Linked DNA regions of Rhinolophus ferrumequinum. The protein of the gene in region 2 purifies or fractionates together with the protein of the main gene of each other region. This does not show direct contact. Links are inferred from orthologs where the notes say so. Each region holds a gene or a part of one and is shown on either strand. Other genes may lie near its edges.

Region 1 (9,460 bases), on a different chromosome or scaffold from region 2:
CACAGGTCGCAGCCGAGGATCTGGGCCTCCCTGGGCCTGCCAGCACTGCACAAACAGTGCCTCTCCCCCATGTGCCTCAGTTTCATCATCGGGTGGGTGGGGGAGGGAGCAATGAGGTGGGCAGTCCCACCTAGGGTTTGCCCCTCTTTTCCTCTTCTCTCCATTCATGTTAGTGACCCTGCCTTCCCTGCCTGCTCCTCTGCAGCCCAGAGTACGTGGCCCTGTTGCGGGGGACCCAGGCCTTGGGCACGAGGGAGCTCCAGGCACTGTCTAGACAGTATGATGCCATCTACTTCCATCCGGTGCGTGCCCTGGGGACACACCCACCCACCCAGACACACATGCTTGTTCACGCCCATGGCCGCCAGACCTGGCCAAAGTCCCCAAGTTCATGGACATGCCAACACCCTGCACACCTGCTGGCTGCCGCTGCTTGCACCTGGGACGATCCTGGCCCATTCCATTCAGCGCTTCGTGCCCTGCAGCCTGGCACAGGGCTGGGCAGAGTCTGAGGTGTAGTGGTGGGGGGGCTCATCTTCACCCCTCCCCCCACAGAGTACCTTCCACTGTGCCCGGCTGGCTGCAGGGGCCGGGCTGCAGCTGGTGGATGCAGTACTGACAGGAGCTGTGCATAACGGGTTTGCCTTGGTGAGGTGAGAGCTGTCCCCCTACCATAGCTGCTTCCCATGTGGGCACAGGGTGACCGTGCCATGCCCCATGCCCCGCTCTCACCTGCAGGCCTCCTGGGCACCACAGCCAGAGGGCTGCCGCCAATGGATTCTGTGTGTTCAATAATGTGGCCTTAGCGGCCAAACATGCCCAGGAGAAGCATGGGCTGCACAGGTGTGTGCTGGGCCAGCTGCAGGGGGCGGGGCCAGATGGAAGGGCTGCTGCTGAGACCCCACCCAGCCCCTTGCATCCTGGACTAGGCTCTGGCATGGAGGCGGGAGGCCACTGCCCTTGTGACCTCCGTGCTCTCTGTCCCCAGGATCCTCATCGTTGACTGGGATGTCCACCATGGCCAGGGCATCCAGTATACCTTTGAGGACGACCCCAGGTGACCTGGGGGCGGGGACCCCACTCTTCCGGGGCACGTAGCCTGGCCTGGGAAAATCCAAGTGGGAAGACATGGTGGTTTGCTCCAGGGTCAGGGTTCTGAGAGGAGCCATGGGGCTGAGGGTCCTGACCGCTGACCTCTGACCATGGCCGGTTATCCCTAGCATCCTTTACTTCTCCTGGCACCGCTATGAGCATGGGCGCTTCTGGCCCTACCTGCGAGAGTCCAATGCAGACACTGTCGGGCAGGGACAGGGCCGAGGCTTCACTGTCAACTTGCCCTGGAACCAGGTGCCACCTTTCACCACCCACCCTACTCCCCAGATCCCCCACCCAGCCCACATCCCCCACCCCACAGCTCCAAGCCTCCTGAGTGTAGTCCAGGGCATCCTGCCAGGGTCACCCCCAGAGCCCGGGCTCCAGGAGTGAAGGCCCCACAGCCCCCCTGACGGGGCCCACCGCTGACGCCCGTGGCTGCAGGTCGGGATGGGAAATGCTGACTACGTGGCTGCCTTCCTGCATGTGCTTCTCCCTGTGGCCTTTGAGGTGACCGTGTGGGGGACAGGGGCAGGAGGGTGGGAGGGGGACTCAATGCCCAGAGTTCCCCCCCACTCCACTGGAGCAGAGCTGAGCCCTGGGGTGGGGACGGTCTCTCTGGAAGGGCCTCCCCTTCACCCCACCCCACCTGGCCCTGCCCACAGTTTGACCCTGAGCTGGTGCTAGTCGCGGCAGGATTTGACTCAGCGATCGGGGACCCCGAGGTGAGGGCCCGGCCTGGCTGGGAGGGCTTCTCTGCTGGGGTCCTGCAGCCAGGCCCCGTCATACCTGCTCTGGTTCCAGGGGCAGATGCAGGCCACGCCAGAGTGCTTCGCCCACCTCACACAGCTGCTGCAGGTGCTGGCTGGTGGCCGGGTCTGCGCTGTGCTGGAGGTGACTATAGTGAGCAGGGAGGGCCCACGGGCCAGAGGCTGAGGTGCTGCCTGAGGGGCCTGCCCCCCAATAATACCCCTGCCCCAGTCACACCTCTGCCCTCCTCCCTCCTCCCAGGGTGGCTACCACCTGGAGTCGCTCTCCCAGTCAGTGTGCATGATGGTGCAGGCCCTGCTGGGTGACCCTGCCCCACCCCTGTCGGGGCCCATGGTGCCACATCACAGGTGCGAGGGGCAGAAGGGTGGGAAGGGCTGTGGCTGCCAGGCCAGGCCTCACCATTCCTGGTTCTCCCCATAGCGCCTTGGAGTCCATCCAGAGTGTCCGGGCAGCACAGGCCCCTCACTGGACAAGCCTCCAGCAGGAAGGTCAGTGTGGCGTGGGCTGGGTGGGGGGGTTGCACCTTGGGCTCCTACACAGTGGCTGAGACTCTGAACCACTCCTAGGCCCGGTCCCCGTCCCAAGTCCCAGTAACTACTCCCCAGAGGGGAGACCCTCGACTCTGCTGCCTGGGGGTTCTGAATTCAAGACTGCAGCAGCCCAGGCCGCGGCAGCACTGAGCTCCCTCCTAGACCAGCTGTGCCTCCAGCCTACACCTCCTGTCCGCACGGCTGTTGCCCTGACTTCGCTGGGCGCTGGCCTGGTCCTGCCCCCTGATGTCCTCTGTGAGGAGGGGTCAGCCCCGCAGGAGGAGATGCAGGCCTGGGCCAGGTGGGCAGAATGGGCTGGGGAATGGGATGGGGCTGTGTCCACCACGTACCCTTGTGTGACTCACCTGTGGTCTGTGTCACCCCGTGGCGATGTGTTCCTCTGGTTTGCCTGCCACAGGCTACATGAGGCCTTGGCCAAAGACGAGGCCCTCACTGCACTTGGGAAGGTCCTATACCTCTTGGATGGGATCCTGGACGGGCAGGTAGGGGCACCTGGAAAGGGCTGGGGTGACTGTGGAGCTGGGGGCAGGGCCCAGGGCCCAGGACCTGCCCAGGACCAGTGGCCTGTCCAGGGGAATGCTGAGAGGTACAGAACCCGTGGACATGAGTGTCACCTTGTGCCCAAGACCTTTCCCACAACAGCCCCAGGGACAGGGTCATGAGCACCCCATCAGGCCCCTCAACTAAATGCTCTTTGGCAGAGAGGGGCAAACTGTGAGCATCTTATTTTCAGAAGTGGAACAATTAGACCTCAGAGTTTACGGATGACAGTCACTGAGGCAGGGACCAAAAGAAGGGACTGATGGGTGTTTCCCTGGTTTGGGGGGTGCTCTCCACTGCTCTTACACTCCTCAGGTGAGCAGCGGCATCACAGACACCCCAGCCCCTGCTGCAGCTGCCACCCTGGATGTGGCCATTCGGCGCGGACTGTCCCAGGGAGCCCAGAGGTAAGCGTAGGCTGGCCGGCCTGAGCCTCCGAGGGCATGGCCCATGGGCACCCCCGCCCTGGCTGGCCACGTAGGGAGGGCTCTGAGAATGGACTCCGGTGTGTGGGGGGGTGCATCAGCCTGTCCTGGGGCCGACTCTTCCTCTAGGCTGCTGTGTGTGGCCGTGGGACAGCTGGACCGGCCCTCAGACCTTGCTGATGATGGGTATGACTCTTGGGTCACGTGTACGTCTTGTTCTGCATGGGGGGGGGCACATTGCTCTGGGTTCCCAGAGGTGATGGGTGGGTGGGCTGACGGGTCGTTGGGAGCAGTGCCAGGAGGGTCTCTGGCAGAGTCAGCACTCCCAGAACCCCTACCCCTGAGCTCCCCTCTATCGTGGGCTCTGGAGGGTGAGTGGACACATGTCCATGTGCTCACTCTCCCCCGGAAGGAGGAATCTGTGGCTGAACATCAGGGGCAAGGAGGCAGCTGCCCTGTCCACGTTCCACGTGTCAGTGCCACTGCCAGCGGTGAGTGATGGTGTCCCAGGGCTGGGCAGTGGCTGCTCACTGGCACCATCATGAGGGCCAGGCCCCTGGCCTTCACCTGCCCTCTTGGCCTCCTGAGGGGACTGGTGGTGTGGCTGCCCACCCAAGACTGGCAGGAGGGGTGTCCCCTGGGTGAGGGGCTGGGCTATGCTTCTGTCCCTCCCACAGACAACTGGTGGATTCCTGAACTGTGTCCTGGCCTTGGTGCTGCCCCTGGCCTATGGCTTCCAGCCTGACCTGGTGCTGCTGGCACTGGGGCCGGCTCATGGCCTGCAGGACGCCCAAGCTGCACTCCTGGCCGCACTGCTGAGGGTGCCAGCAGGGGGCCGAGTCTTGGCCCTCGTGGATGCGGTGAGTTAGGCAGGGTGGACGTGCTGTGCGGTGGGAGGTGGGGAGAGACCAGTGATTCACTTTCATCTCTGCCCTGGCCCAGGAGTCCACACCACGGCTCGCGGGAGTGCTGGCCCGGGTGCTGTGTGGGGAGGCGCCCCCCAGCCTCGGTCCCTTCTCTGTGGCCTCCCCAGAGGACACGCAGGCCCTGAAGTACCTGAGAGGGCAGCTGCAGCCACATTGGAAGATGCTGCAGGTGGCCGGTGAGACTGGGGGACAAGACTCAGGTTCAATGCTTGTGGCTGTGGGGGGACAGTTCTGCCTTAGAGCTCCGGGGCGGGAGGGGCGCAGGTCTTGGGGCGTGGGGTGCTGCCCTGCACCAGCTCAGAGCAGAGCCAAGCTGACTGTGTGCCTCTTCCCAGCTCCCGTTTGAGTGCTGTGACCTGGTTGCTGGAAATCAGCTAGGTGGGAGGACTTACACCCCGGAAATGACACTACCAACCAGTCCCCCAAGAGCCGGTTGTTAAACATTCACCCGAACACCACTGCCAGAGGCCTCTGTCCTGATGTCCAGGCCACGGGCCGCCCAGCGCACTGGCGCAGGGGCAGTGTCCACTGCAGGGACCTGAAGCCCCACTGCACACTCGCCTCTGCACGGAAGGCCCCGCCCAACCCCCCTCCACTCCATTCAGTAAAGGGTTAAGCGAAAGTCTGACTCCGCCTCCGTCACTGAGCCCGCGGCGTCGGACCTCAGTTCCCCCACCTGTGGGAACGCGGCTTCAAACCGGAAGCCGAAAGTGCTCTGGGGTGGCGGCCTCCAGGCCCCGCCCCCTGCTCGCCCTGGCCCCGCCCCCTCTGTACGGGCCGCCGGCCTCCCCGGTGACGCAATTCCGGCGCGCCAGCTCCAGCGGTTTTGCGGGTCGCGTGGCAGTGACGCCACGGCGGCGGGCGCTGATGCGGCGCGCTCTTTTTGGACCAGGCCTGGTGAGCCGGCGGCTGAGCGGGCCTGACCCCACGCCCCCTGCCGGGCACCCCGCTCCCTCCTCGGGCGGCCCCGAGAAAACGTGCAAAGCCGGGTCCGTGCACTGCCTACTGCCCGCGCGCGTCTCCTTGGGTTTGTCACGGTTCTGTGACCCCTAAAGGTTGAGGGCTACGGAATTGGAGAGGTGCCAAGCTGGCGCTCTGCAGGCTGTGGCGGGCCGCGGGGTGCAGGCGGCCATGGGCCGGGCCGGGGAGGGCAGAACCACCGCAAGACCGCCGTTAAAATACAAGTCCTGAGCCTCCAGACGCTGGTTAAGGAGGCCGCCTGCCAGTCAGCCCTGTGCGATCCGCTCCTTGGCTTTCAGAGGGCGACGTGCAGCCCGGGTGAGACGCTTTCCCACGCGCTGAGGGCCCGGAGCTGAGACGGGGTGGGCATGGCCAGCATCACCCAGCTGTTCGACGACCTGTGCGAGGCCCTTCTGCCCGCTGCAAAGGCTCACCTGGGCCAGCGCAGCGTGAGCCGAAAGGAGGCCAAGCAGAGCCTCAAGAGGGTGGCCTACAACGCTCTTTTCACGAAACTTTTTCGAGATGAGACTCATAAGCTGCAGCCTGACCTCTGGAAAGTCCCAGTGAAAAACAAGATGCTCATGCTGTCCTTTGACTTAAGAGTCGGTGGCCTGGGCCCCGAGGCTGATCGTTTGGAGGAGCTGGTAGAGAAACTCGAAGCCGCCCCCTGCTGTCCGCTTGGGGAGGTGCGGTCTGTTTTGGACCTCCTGGTCCAGCTGGCAGGGAGTGGGCCCCCTCAAGTGCTGCCACCCAAACGGGACTACTTCTTCAACAACAAGCACGTTGGGAGAAACGTGCCTTACAGCGGCTACGACTGCTATGATCTGAGTGTGTTTGAGATGGACGTTCAGTCTCTGATCTCCAGAGAGGAGTATTTATGTCAGGACACGATCCAGAAAGCGCTTCAGGTGATGGAGGCGACGCCGGGCACCGGTCTGCCCTCTGTCGGGCTCTTCTCGTACGGTGACCCTTGCGGTGACAGGTTTGAGAGAGACACCCGGGCCTCGTTCTTCGGAGCCCTGGTGCACAGCCGCACGTACGACATGGATGTCAGACTGGACTTGCCCCTGGTGCCAGGCAGCGTGGACCTGTCTGGACTGTGTATTAAGGTACAGTCCACCTCTCCTGCCTGCAGCTGTGGAGGCGTTTGGAAAGCCTCCTTTGATCTTCCTTCTGTCACGGTAAAGGTAGGGTAGCGCTGGAGTCCAGGTCACTTGGTGGCTGAGCTGTGCTGATGCTGAGGTGGGGCAGCCCGAGTGGGCTTCCTGGCACCCACCTTCCTGGGCGAGGATGCTGCTGCCCACCAGTAAGGCAAACCAACGTGCTGCTTTTCTCTTGTATTTGACAGGACATGTTGTCAAATCACTTCCTCTGCCCTCTAAATTGCCCTCTAAACTTAATTAAAATGAGACATTTAGTTCCTCAGTTGCACAGGCCACGTTTCAAGTGTGCAGTAGCCACATGTGGCAGAAAATATTTGTTTAGACTCTGCATGCAGTTTTATATACTTCTCCGCCTGTAATGTGCGGTTTTCCTACATCGTCAGGTGCATCACTGGACTTTGGATGTGGTGGTTTTATACGTACTGATGAAAGGATGTGCTGTCACCAGTCACTTCCTTCTGGGGTGTTAAGGTTATTCCCAGACAAAGGTGATGCTCTAGTGAACATCTTGGTCTATGTAAATTTTTCTGTCTCTGGTATGATTTTTATGCTGCATCCCCCAAATGGAATTTCCAGATTGGAGGCATTTCATGAAAAATTTCATTGTAAGTTCTATGGAGGCTTATGCATTGTGTGAAATTGGAATTGATACATTAGTAAATTAATTTGTTTAATTACTTTTAGTGGTTTAATGGAGGAAAAAACACTATGTAGTACACACGTGCTCCAGAAAAATAGAAACATTCTGCTAGGTCTTTCCCATATGAGTAAGTGAAAATGTGTGGGGAATCCTGGAATTCTGATCGCACTTGGGTGAAGGTAGACCCAAAGATGTGTGTGGCATTTCCTTCTTTCCTCTGGTCTCCAGGTTCCTCAGAGTGTGGATCAATCGGAAGATGAAGGGTTCCAGTCAGCATCCAACTTGACTCCTGATTCCCAGTCTGAACCAGGCATGACCCCCGACATGGACCTGTGGGAGGCCGTGCTCACCTATGAGGCCAGCAAGCGGAGGTGCTGGGAGCAAGTTGGCTGGTACGTGAGCGTTTGCCCTTAAATCACTTCTCTCCTCCCCGCTGTGAATGTGGCTTTCCTGAGAGCCCAGGGAGTTGCTTGTAGAAGCAGCTGTGATGGGTTTAGGAGCCTGGAAGCTTGGTCACGCTAGTGCACAGAGTCGTCTTTGTTCTGGGAGTTGAGAGGAAGGTCTGGGAGAAAGGACTCCCCGGCTTCACTGAGGTTCCCAATGTGCCACAACTTCCACAAATCACACTTTCCAGTTAGAGCAGTCAGGTGACAACTGAGTTAACACGTTACCAGGAGGGCGGTCTGGCAGGCGGTGTGGTCAGTCCCAGACAAGGGATGCTGCCAGAGGCGTTTTCTTCATGCCCACTGTTCCTCTCATCTAGAAGGGCTGGGAGCTCTGGCTGGTGAGCGCGTCAGCAGGGTTTCCCTGACTGCTGCCTGAAGCTCGCTCCTGGGGCTCATCCGGGGCCAGAGGCCTGTCCACTCAGGACCTCTCAGAGTCTGTACAGTGCTTCTGTCTCTTGAAACTTCCAGAATGGGAATAGAGGACACAGATTTTCAACGTTTGGTCATGGCACCCTCTTGTCACATGTCATCTGTGGGTAGGTCCGTGACATACCAGCGTAGGGAACACTGAATAAAAGAACTGTGGTTAGCAGGGAGCTGAGTGCCTCCTGATGCAGCCATGGGCTCCCGCAGGGTCTCCCGCACCTGAGCACCTGCTCAGGGGCAGACATTTCATAGGTGTGTGTGTGCACTGGTCCTGCTGGGGTAGCTTTCCTGGCATGGTCACCCTCCCCACGTGCACTCCTCCCCACACAGCAGCTCCGTAAGCTCTGTCGGTGTGGGCAGCTGTCTTGTCTCCGAGCGCTGTCTGTGCCATGTAACCCTGTGAGGCCTCAGTCCTGTCTTCTGTGTACAAAGCCAGTCTAACCATCTGGCTTTCTGTTGAGCCCTCACATGTCTAAAAAGTGGCCCAACAAGTTACCCCTTTCTCTTAGCATCTTCACTGACCAATCAGAGCGGCTCCATTTGATCAGTCAGGACAGTGTTTTTTACACAAATCAAACAGGGTTTGGAGTCTCATTTGCATGAGGACGGAGCAGTCAGACCGCGGCAGGGACTTCTGTCTATATGAGTCACTCCCCCTGGCTGGGAGAGCACACTTTCCCTTTCTGCCAAAGACAGAGTACGTTATAAACCCGGCCAGCGTGGGGGCAGGCAGGACAGTGGAGCAGAGCTGAGCTGTCTGGTGGGCTGGAGTGGAGAAGCAACACGGGGCTGGGCCGCTGTCTCTCAGTGGCTCACAGCCCAGCTGTTTAACCATTGAACTGTTAAGTCTCTTCCCACCCGCACCCCAAGTTGGGGACTCCTGTTGGCATTGAGCTGTCAGCGACGACCTTTAGCTGACACTACTTTTCTAAGCTTAGTTTCTCAGGCCACTGTTCAGAAGACATGACCGCTCCCCAATCTCTCTTCAGCTCTGTTCTCAAGGCACTTAATGTCCTCAGTGTCCCCACGGTGGGTGTTTCCTGTGAGGACTGTAGCTGGCAGCATAAGCGTAGGCGGCCTCTGCAGGCCGACCCCCAGGGCTCCTCCTCTGTCTGATCTGGTCTCAGCCGCATCCACTGCCCCTGCCCTCTGAGGCTCAAGCTCACTTGGTGAAGTTTTTGAACTGGGTCAGTTTCAATCCCAGCCTCCTGCTAGGTTCCTGCCGTGAGCGCTGGCCGGTGGGCAGGTAAGGAAGCTGCTTTCCTGCCAGAAGCAGAGCTCTGTGGGTCCACACCCAGGATGGCGGTCCTCCCTTGCTCAGACCTCTGGAGGACCCCTCCCCTGTGCTTCCCCCGAGAGCCAGCGCTGGGGTGCAGGGTGCCATCAGCTGTAGCTCCAGGTCTGTCACGCATTCTGGGGGAAGCAGTTTCATTACATGAAGGGCTGAGTTCTCTGTGGGGACACTTAATGTCCTCAGTGTCCCCACGGTTGGTGTGAATTTGGTATTTTCCTTCATGGGC
Region 2 (9,446 bases):
CCATCTCCATGCGGCCCCTGCGGGACCTTCGTCCAGGATGTGCGAGGCTCCGCGTGTTTCTCGGGTCCGCGTGTTTCTTGGAACTGTAGTGAATCGGGAACCCCATGGATGCAATGGGAAAGCTCCCCATTGCCCTACCCAGGGACTCAGGCCTGGGGAGCGCTGGACCCACAGAGGACCTCTGCACACGAAGCTGGGCACGCGGCTTGAAAGAGAAACAGACGCAAAGATGGACGATTTGTCCCCTCCCTTCACCCCTTCCAAGACAGTTTTGGTGTTGAAGAAGTAAAGGACAGTTACCTCATAGATAATTCAAAGCCACGAATTGGGCGGGGAGGAGGCCAGGATGGAGCAGAGCTCTAGAAGTCCAGTGGCGGGACCCCGTAAGTCCTCAGCTTGGGAGCGCTGCCCCAGCTCGGTGGGCCTTACCGTTTCCTTATCTGTAAAGCAGAGACAGGTCCACGGGTCTCTGCCGTGGAACCCGTGAGGCCAGATGTGCTCAGAGTAAGATGCAAATAAAACAGAGCATCCACCCCAGCGGTTGGGGGGCAGCACCCCTTCATTGGATACTTGCAGGTTCGGCCGTGGGGTAAACGAAGGCCGTTCAGAGCCTCGCAGTTTGCGTCACCTTGTTCTGTCAAATTCGTTGGTGCCCAATTTAGGGGAAAACGAAGTTGTCAGAGGATTATGAAACTAATTTCTCACACAGTTGATGAAGGGTTGACGGAGCAGGTACAAAGTGCTGGAATGTTCATCACAACTGTCATCATTGTAAGTATAGTCTTCTTCCCTCCCTTCTCCTGGGTTGAGCCCCCACGTCTCCCGAGAGATTAGAAAAGGGATTACTCATTTTCCTGGAGGCAGGGGGTGGTATTAAACGTGGCAACAAGAGCTGGGCTTTCCCAAGATGCTGGTGTGAAACAGAAGGCTCAGAGGCGTGGGGAGCTCAGAAGCACAGGAACTGAGGTCCGAGCACATTTTGGGCCGTAGCGTCACGGCCCACAGCTCAAGCCAACAAGGCCAGGCTCCCAAAGAATGCAAGTCAGCCTTCAATAAAGGAAATAAAATACCAAAACACAGCTGGCCATGGCCCTGATGCCCTTTGTCATCAACGTCATTTTCTGCTTTAAAATTTTGAGGAGGAAAGATGGGAAATTTGTCAAGCTAGGGGCGGTCTTACAGACGGCCTGGTTCTCCTCCAGGGTCGGCGGTAGCGCCCCCAAGCAACCAGGACAGAACCTTCTCAGTTCAGCAAGTATCTTCCTGTTGGACAGAGTCCTGACTGGAGCTGGGACAGGAGTCATGGCAAAAAAAAAAAAAAAAACCCAACAGCATTAACACATCAGAACCCAAAGCCAATAGCAGTGCCTGGGGGAGATTTCATCAGCCTTGTGACGGGTCAGAGGCCAGGGCCAACCAGCATGAGGAGGCCCCCACCCCCCAAGGACTCTGTCTTGGGCTTCCAGATGGCCACGCCCATCCTGGAATTCCCTGGGAGCTCATACCTACACAAAGGATGTCTGGGCCAAGGCCAAGATTCAAAGGCTTCCTGAATATTCCCAAGTGGCTCGTCTGCTCAGACAAGGGCAGCTCATGGGATGTAAAGCCCAGAGACCCATGCGAGAACATTCTCTGGGATAGAGGCCCAGAAGGCAGGACACTCTGTGTCCTCCCAAGTTGGCCAATTCCTTGCTTTCCCTGGGCATATCATTGCTACTCACCATGTCTGTTTTCTCATCGTTGCAGAAAACTATGTGACCTTGGTTGAAGTCTGTAAGACCCTTGGTTCCAGATCAGCACAGCCTGTCATTAGCAGCACTGTGATTTTTCCCACTGCGGCCCTAACATTCTGCCTCTCCCAGCTATTTTGGGCCGGGCTGCCCAGTTGTCCCACAACGGCAGAGGCCGATTGCAGACTTTTGAATTCCTATCTGAAGGGTAACCACAGGCAGGCTCAGATGGCAGGGTCTCACTGCCAAGGGGTGGGGGTGGGAGAGTCTCCGTGGAGATTCGGGGAAGGAGCTGAGATGGAAACTTGGCAGCCAGATCCAGCCTCCCTGGCCGCTGGCCCACGCTCGTTGCTCCTAGATGGCAGTGCCCGTGGTCGAGAAGACTCAGGGCAGGTGGGAATCAGGACTGGCAGCTACAAGGACAGAGCAGGCGGGTCTGCTGCCTCATGCTCCTCACACCTGCAGGAGACCCCTCTAAGGAGGACAAACCTTTCATGGAAGTCCCCTCTGCACTCTTGATGCAAAGACGGGCAGTCAGGGATTTAAAAAAAAAATACACGTGCAGTCTCACTTTGACCATTTCTGTGCTTTCTGACTCTAATGATGCCATGTCATGCCCCATGCCTCAGTTTCTCCATCTCTCATTTCCATCCCTATTTTGAGAATTCCTTTTGGGAACTTTCAGAGATTGGCATAGACAGACCGTAAGGCAATGTTTTAATAAAATGGGAGGGCCCCCTGGTGGACTGCATAATTCTAAGCACTCGACTTTGAAATGAATGAGTGAGTCCATTGAGTAACTCAACACATGAATGAATGACTAAAGTGAAGAATTTTTCGTTGTTCATGCACAGCCCAGAAACCAAAGGAGGAGAGAATTTCCTGCAGAAGGCCATGGTGAAGTCTCCAGTGATGCGAAGAAGACAAAGGGAATGAAAACTGAAGGAAAACCTAGTTGTAGATGTCCGTGGAGTCACTGACCATAAGGAGTGCAATTTCACGGCACAACCTCTGCGGAAGTCTGTCTACTCACTAGAGGATGCAAACACCCTTTGATATAGTAATATTTCTTCTGGGGATAATATTTATTCTGGGGATCCTACATATATCTTCATAGTTGTGCCCAAATAAGTAACATCGCTGTAATGTGAAAAGATCACAGATATCCCGAAAGAACATCACCGGGGCCTGGTAAAGTAGATGACATCCCATCCACACGGTGGAATGCCACACACCGCTCTGTGGAGAATGAAGCAGCTCTCTGTAAAATGCTATGGGACAAGCTATTCTGTGAAGTGAAAAATTACAAACCTTACTGAAAAACTTTTTTAAAAAGACCTACGTAAACGGAAAGGCAACCACGTTCTTGGGGAGAAGACTCAATATCATAAACATCTCAGTTCTCTCCCAATCAATCTACAGATTCGAAGCAATTCTATTTAACATCCTAAAAGGTAGGGGCATGTGGGCTGCTGTGGGGGTGGGGAGGGCAATAGTCCTGCACCCTATGAAGGCTTAGTATAAAGAGGTGATAATGAGGACAGTGGTATTGAGCTGATATGAAATATTATACCCATACAGTAACAGAAATTCCCAAACAGAGCCACATGTCCCTGGAGACTTGAGCTATGGCAAAACTGGCACTGCACATACATCAATGGGGAAAGGATGGATTCTTTTCTAAAAACAGCACTGAGATGTTGGGGCATGTGCAGCAGAAGAAAGATAGATATATAGATATATAGATATCAAAAAAATCTGAGAAAGATACACAACTTCTCAGTAATCAGGCAAGGAGAAGACATTTCATGCTATCAGATTGGTAAAATGAATGAATACACCTGATAGTACTTGTGGGCCAATGGGATTGCTCACCCATTGCAACAGGTCTATTTCATTTTTGTAAAATACATGCATATATATATATATATATATATATATATATATATAGTTTAGGGATACAAACCTATTTGCTAAAATTACAAAATAAAGCACAAGAATGATTACCACAACATTCAAGATTGTGTTTATCTCTTGGGGTGGGAGGAAGTTGGCAACAGGAAGGAGTACCTAGAGAGCTCTCTAGATAACAAGATTAGTGTTTTATTTTTAAGTTGGGAGCCATACCTGAAAGTAGATATCTTAGTAAAAAAAAGATGTGAATAATTTAAAATAATTATACCGTGTTTCCCCGAAAATAAGACCTAACCGGAAAATAAGCCCTAGCATGATTTTTCAGGATGACATCCCCTGAACATACGCCCTAATGCGTGTTTTGGAGCAAAAAGTAATATAAGAACCAGTCTCATTTTCGGGGAAACACTGTAGTATATGGTATATGGTTGGGATACAGTTTAATATGATGGAAAATATAAATGAATTCAGCAAAGGTTTTTTTTCTCCCCTCCCCCTCAAAAACGCAGAGCCTTATGTTTAGCACATTTCCATTAGGTTTAAAAGTAATTTAACATATGTGCTATGATTCGTTTGTGTGTCACAAAATATCTGTAAGAATGACCACAAGAAACTAGTACTAATGGTTACCTCTGGGGAGGGAACGCAGAGGGGGTATGGAGGGAGGGTTATCTTTCACTGCGCACCATTTATATAATTTGAAATTTCTCTTGTGCGTCTGTTGATGGAAGGCTGTTGAGAGACCAGGGATGTGTGCATGCAGAGACCGAAGGTGCAGACCGGGAGCACTGACGCACCCCCTCGCCATGCTCCTGTGTGACGCTCCACTACTATAGGGCTTTTTTTTTTCTTTTTTTCTTCCAGGATTTCTAAAATGAGCATCATTACAGGACTTAGGGGTGAGGGGCCGGGATGCCTTTTAACATAGTCCATTCAAATAGCTCAGGGGGCTGGAGAAACGGGATGAATTAGAGACCCATGTTTGGAAAGGGGTTCGTTGATTGCAAGTTAGGGGGGCCCAAGCCCAGGCCGCTCCTGCCTGTACACCTGTGTACTGACCTTTGCTTTGGAAACTGAGCTACATTCAGACGTAGGCGGTTAGAAGAGCCAAGGGAAGGGCTCTGAGAATGAGGGTGGCAGAAATGGTTCCGTGCCTCTACGCCCCGGGAGGACCACGAAGGTCCGGGGGACCAGGCAAGGGGTCTCACAATCTCAGCTCGAGGAATGATACCCCCCCTCCCCGTAGCCTTCACCTCCGCCCCCCTCCCCTTTCTGCTCGGCCGACGTTCCAGAATAACGCGGTGGAAGGGGCCTGCGGGTGGGGAGCGCGGACAGCCCTCCTCCCTCCGGTCCTTCCCCCGGCCCAGCTCGCTGAGCATCCAAAACTACAACTTCCAGTAGCTCCCTGCACGCGGCCGGCGCGCAGCCGCAGAGCAGAGGCTGCCGGGAGCGTGTTGCCCGGAGGCGGGACGAGCGCGCCGGGCGGAAGTCGGCCGCCCGCTCGGTCCCGGCCCTTCCCGCAGCGAGGCCCCGGCTTCCGCGGGACCCCGAAGCAGCCCGCCCCGGGTGAGTGAAGGCCGCGCCCGCAGCCGCCCGCGCTCCCCCTCGCGCCGGCCTCCCCAGCGCCTGCCGCCGCCCTCCGACCCCGCACGCTCCCTCCCTGTCTGACCTATTGGGGCCCCTTGACCCACAGGTCAGCGGTCCCCTCGGACGGGGGTGCCTCGGAGAAACTGTCCCCTCCTACCGACGGGGGGCGACACCTACCCCTCTGACTCGGAGACTCCTCCCCCGTCTGACTGGCGGAGTCTGACGGCGCGGACTAGCGCCCGCGCCGTGTTCGGTGCCGCCACTCGGACCTGGGCAGGGCCTCTCCTGATGGGCTCGGGAGCCCGCCCGCCCTGCCTGGCACCGGGTCACCCCTGCAGCGCGCCAGCCTTCCCCACCCCAAGCCAGGCCTTGCTCTCCCTGCCCCCAGCGCAGCTCCCTTTCCTCCCTTTTGCACTCAAACGGGCCACGCTCCCCTTTCCCTCTGCGCGCCTTGCGCTCCCCCATCTGGTCTGGATCCTTTTATCCCTGGGGATCACCGCCTCCTTGCCACCCTCGGTGCGTTTCCCGTGCCCTCTGTGTGCCTAGGTTTGGCAGGCGTTAACACCTGCCGGCAGTCTTCCGTGCGCCAGACCCCGCTTTCTCCCAAGCACCTGTGTCCCTCAGGAAACCCGTGTCTCTCAGCAGCACATCGGCCCCATGTCTCATTCCTGCTTCGGGGTATGTGCTTGACGGCTTTTCCTACCACGTTTCGGACAAAGCGCAAGTTTGGGAACACACATCTGCTGGTGTCACCTGAATCTTGCCGGCACTTGGGTGTAAGGGCCAAAACTTGACAAAAGCACAGTCGCAGGTAGGTCCATGGAAAGGAGGCAGGTGCTCAGCCTCCCGTTCCTCCCCCTTGAGGAGCTCGTTGAGTTAGGTCTTCCTGGGCTGGGCTGCAGAGCGTTGTCCAGCCCCCAGCCCCAGCCCACGGGCCTCAGCCGCAAACAATGCAGCCTGAGCCTGTGGGCTCAGTGGGGCCTCTTCCAGAGCCAGGGTGGCCTCCTGGTGGCCCTCCCTGCCGGCCTCAGTGACCTTCTGTTCAGCCCCGAGTGCCCTGCTGAGAGGCACGTTAACAGCCCAGCCTGCTCCCCTCTGGAAGTGCAGGGGTGTCCAGTCCTGTGCAGCCCAGATTTGGTCAGGCACTGTCACAAGGCCACCACCAGTGGGCTGGGACACAGGATTCTGGGTCTTACTCTTTCGTGTCCAAATGAACCTGATCACAAAGGTGATGCTGCCTCGCCCGGTGGTGGAGGAAATCACATATTTCCAAGGGTGTGGGTACCAGTGTGTCACCATGTGATCCCTCAGCTGTAAAAATCTGATCCTTTGATACCTTCCATTAGCTAAACGTCTCCTTTGTTCCCCCAAATGTAGTTCACGCCATATTTTCATAGCCCACAGCAACGTAGTGAAGGCGTTGGTTTAGGCTGCTGGTGCTTGAGGAAATTTCTACCCGCCAGTCCAACTGCACCTAATCTGCATGTCTTCCAAGCCCCAGAGGAGTGAGGAGACACCAGGGTGCCGGGTGGGGGGCAGGTCTCGCTCGGGGTGTGTTCATCCCCACCCCCTGAAGGGGGCCTTTGAGGTGAGCGCTTGTGGGCTCCCACAAATACACATGGCCCCTTTCATCTGAGTCTCAGGACTTTCTTGGCAGCACTGTGGCAGTCGTCATGGCAACTGTATAGGGTAGGTGTATAAATGCTCTAGTGTTTTCTCTTTCAAAAACAGAATATCTCCGATCGGGGAATATGGTTCAGAGTCCTGAACTGGATCGGTATTATGACAAGGAAGACGTTTCCCTGTTGTACAGACATTTGTGGCGTGGTACCCAGGATACTGAAAAAAAAAAATTATTTTCCTTTCAGTGACACTCTGGACTATGGAGATTTCTGGAAAGTTCTTATTAATTGCCAACGTTAAGGGAATTTAAAATTTTTTCTATTAATTGTTTAGCACTTTTATGTTGATTTTCCTTTTCATCAGACCAAGACAAAGTCCTGATATTAGCAAAACCTGTTTGGGAAAATGTTCGTTTTTCTGTTTTTGTCTGCATTTCTTTTGAATCCCACTCATTTATCTGTAGTAGCGCTGCCATTAAATGGAAGTCACAGTTCCGGTTCCCAAGCAGAGTGCCCTGCCATCCCTGCCCAGCCAGGGACCATGCCGTGGGAAGTGAGGCGGGGCCATGTGCACGTGGGGCCTGACCAGGTACAGTGAGGGCGCATGACAGTGTGGGCGTGAGCGTGAGGTTGGAGCCGTCTAGAATGGCTCGCTGGCCACTGTGCCTGGTAGCCCCGCGCTGAGGCACGCGGGAGAGCAGGTGGGTTCAGGCAGGTGCGTCCACTGTCTGTGGGAGCAGCCCTGACTTGGGCCGATCGTGGGATTATCACATCCCCTTGTTCCGGGCTCTCCAAAAAACAAGCCGAAGATGCGTAGTTTTGTTTGGGATGAGGGCACTTTCAACTGGGAGGGCAGCTGTTTTCCAAAAGTCCTAGATGACGGCACAAACTATGCACGCACAGCGGCTGTGGTGTAAGGATGAAGTGCAGACTCAGGCTGTGCCCCCCGCCCCGAGGCAGAGCTGTGTGAATGGTCCCGGCCCCCGGGAAAAGCTGTAGGTTCTTCCCGGCCCCTGTGGCCGGCAGAGTAATGCCCATCCGCACCCGCAGAGGTCCACGCCCTGACCCCCGGGACCTGCGAATGTGTTATGTGGCAAAGGGGGGCTAAGGGAGCACGTGGAATTCCAGGTACTTATCATCTGACCTTAAAAATGGGGGCTCGTCCTGGATTGGCCAGGTGGGCCCAGTGTGACCACAGGGCCCTACCAGTGGAAGGGGGGCCGGAGAGTGTCAGAGGGGATGATGGCGGAAAGGCCCAGGGAGATGCAACAGTGCTGGCTTTGAAGGTGGAGGAAGGGGCCACAAGTCGGGCTGAGGGCAGCCGCTAGCAACTGGAAACGGCCAGGAGACGGGTCCTCCCCTCGAGCCTCTGAAAGGACCAGCCCTTTATTTTGGCCCAGTGTGACCCATGTCGGACTTCCGTCCTGCATCTGTAAAGTAAGTGTGTGGTGTTCAAGCTGTGCAGCCTGCACTGCTGTTACAGCAGCAGGAGACAACTGACACACTCCGCTTGGGCGGCTGACTTACAAACAGAAACAAAGGACAGAAAAAGAAGTCACCCGAACTGTATTTAACTTGACTCGGTGAGCAGTCGTGATTGCCTGTCACGGAAGGGGCTGAGTAAGGGACAGGCGGGCGAAGGGAGGATCCAGAGAGCTGGGTTTAGACGCTGTCAGCGCTGGTGCTGGAGGCCCTTGGTGTCTGTCTTGCCTGTAAGGAGTCTGAAGGTCAGCGCGTGTCACTCTACTTTCCAACCAGAAAGTGCACTTTGCCGGTGGGCAGACTAGGGACTCCTGCCTGCAGTCTGATGGCTCTTTAGGACCGTTCAGAGACCGTGGTGGAGAAGGAGAGGCAGCCACTCTGCAGACCCCAGGGCCTGGGGAGGACAGTGGCTGCCCCGTCCCTGAGGCAGGGAGCTGGGAGCGGGCCACCTTATCTCCGAGCTGAACTGTGCTTCCGGCCCTCCCTGGATCCTGAAAGGTCAGAGTTTTGCTCAGGTAGCTGCCTTAAACCTGTTTGTTCTGCCACCTGTCCGGGCCACTCCTACAGGAAACCGGGGAAGCGACCCTCTTGGCTGTGAGCTGAATGTAAGCCTTGTGTCGGGTGCGGAGGCCAGCCTGGGGGTGAAGGTGAAGGTGGGGGTGTCTGAGCCTGCCCTGATTCTTGGCTGCAGTGGAGGGGCTGCTCACTCTACTCCCTGGGTGTGTACCAAGACAGCGTGCTGCCCCCCTGGAATCGGGGGGTGCCCTGGGGAGCTACAGACACAGCCCTTACACTGACGCTAGTTCAGGCCTGTTGCACAGGAAGCCGGAAATGCATGAGTGTCAGTGAGCCGTTCTTGAGACCTGCCTGAAAGGGGGTGGGGGGCTGGGGCTGGAGCCTTGGGGGTGGTTGTCCCTCCTCATGGTTAACTCTCTCCAGCCTGTTGCCCTGCCCTGTGGCTGGCTGCCGGCTCCAGAAAAAGGAAGCCAGCAGGGGTGCGGCCTCCAGGGGGCTCTGAGCCTGGAGAGAACTTGTTTGCTGGCCCACCTGAACAGGTGAGCCCAGCGACTGGGTCCTAATTTTCTTGGTGATATAAAACCGCCCGTTATGC

The links.
Region 1: the proteins of galectin-3-binding protein (region 2) and TUBGCP6 purify together in Homo sapiens (co-immunoprecipitation; 4 studies listed by BioGRID and IntAct, counting the BioPlex papers as one, with this or other methods). This does not show direct contact. The link is inferred for Rhinolophus ferrumequinum from reciprocal best matches to the Homo sapiens genes LGALS3BP and TUBGCP6.

Annotation. Positions count from the first base shown.
Region 1 is NC_046293.1:454,951-464,410, forward strand, and holds the start of TUBGCP6 (gamma-tubulin complex component 6), read left to right. Parts: upstream 1-5,112; 5' UTR 5,113-5,633; coding exon 5,634-6,452; intron 6,453-7,296; coding exon 7,297-7,460; intron 7,461-9,460. Other genes in the region: polyamine deacetylase HDAC10, read left to right, coding at 206-302, 556-653, 739-843, 989-1,057, 1,221-1,347, 1,537-1,602, 1,758-1,817, 1,897-1,986 and 10 more. UniProt on the Homo sapiens protein: Component of the gamma-tubulin ring complex (gTuRC) which mediates microtubule nucleation.
Region 2 is NC_046304.1:52,739,665-52,749,110, reverse strand, and holds the start of galectin-3-binding protein, read left to right. Parts: upstream 1-5,094; 5' UTR 5,095-5,210; intron 5,211-5,918; exon of another isoform or gene 5,919-6,042; intron 6,043-9,446.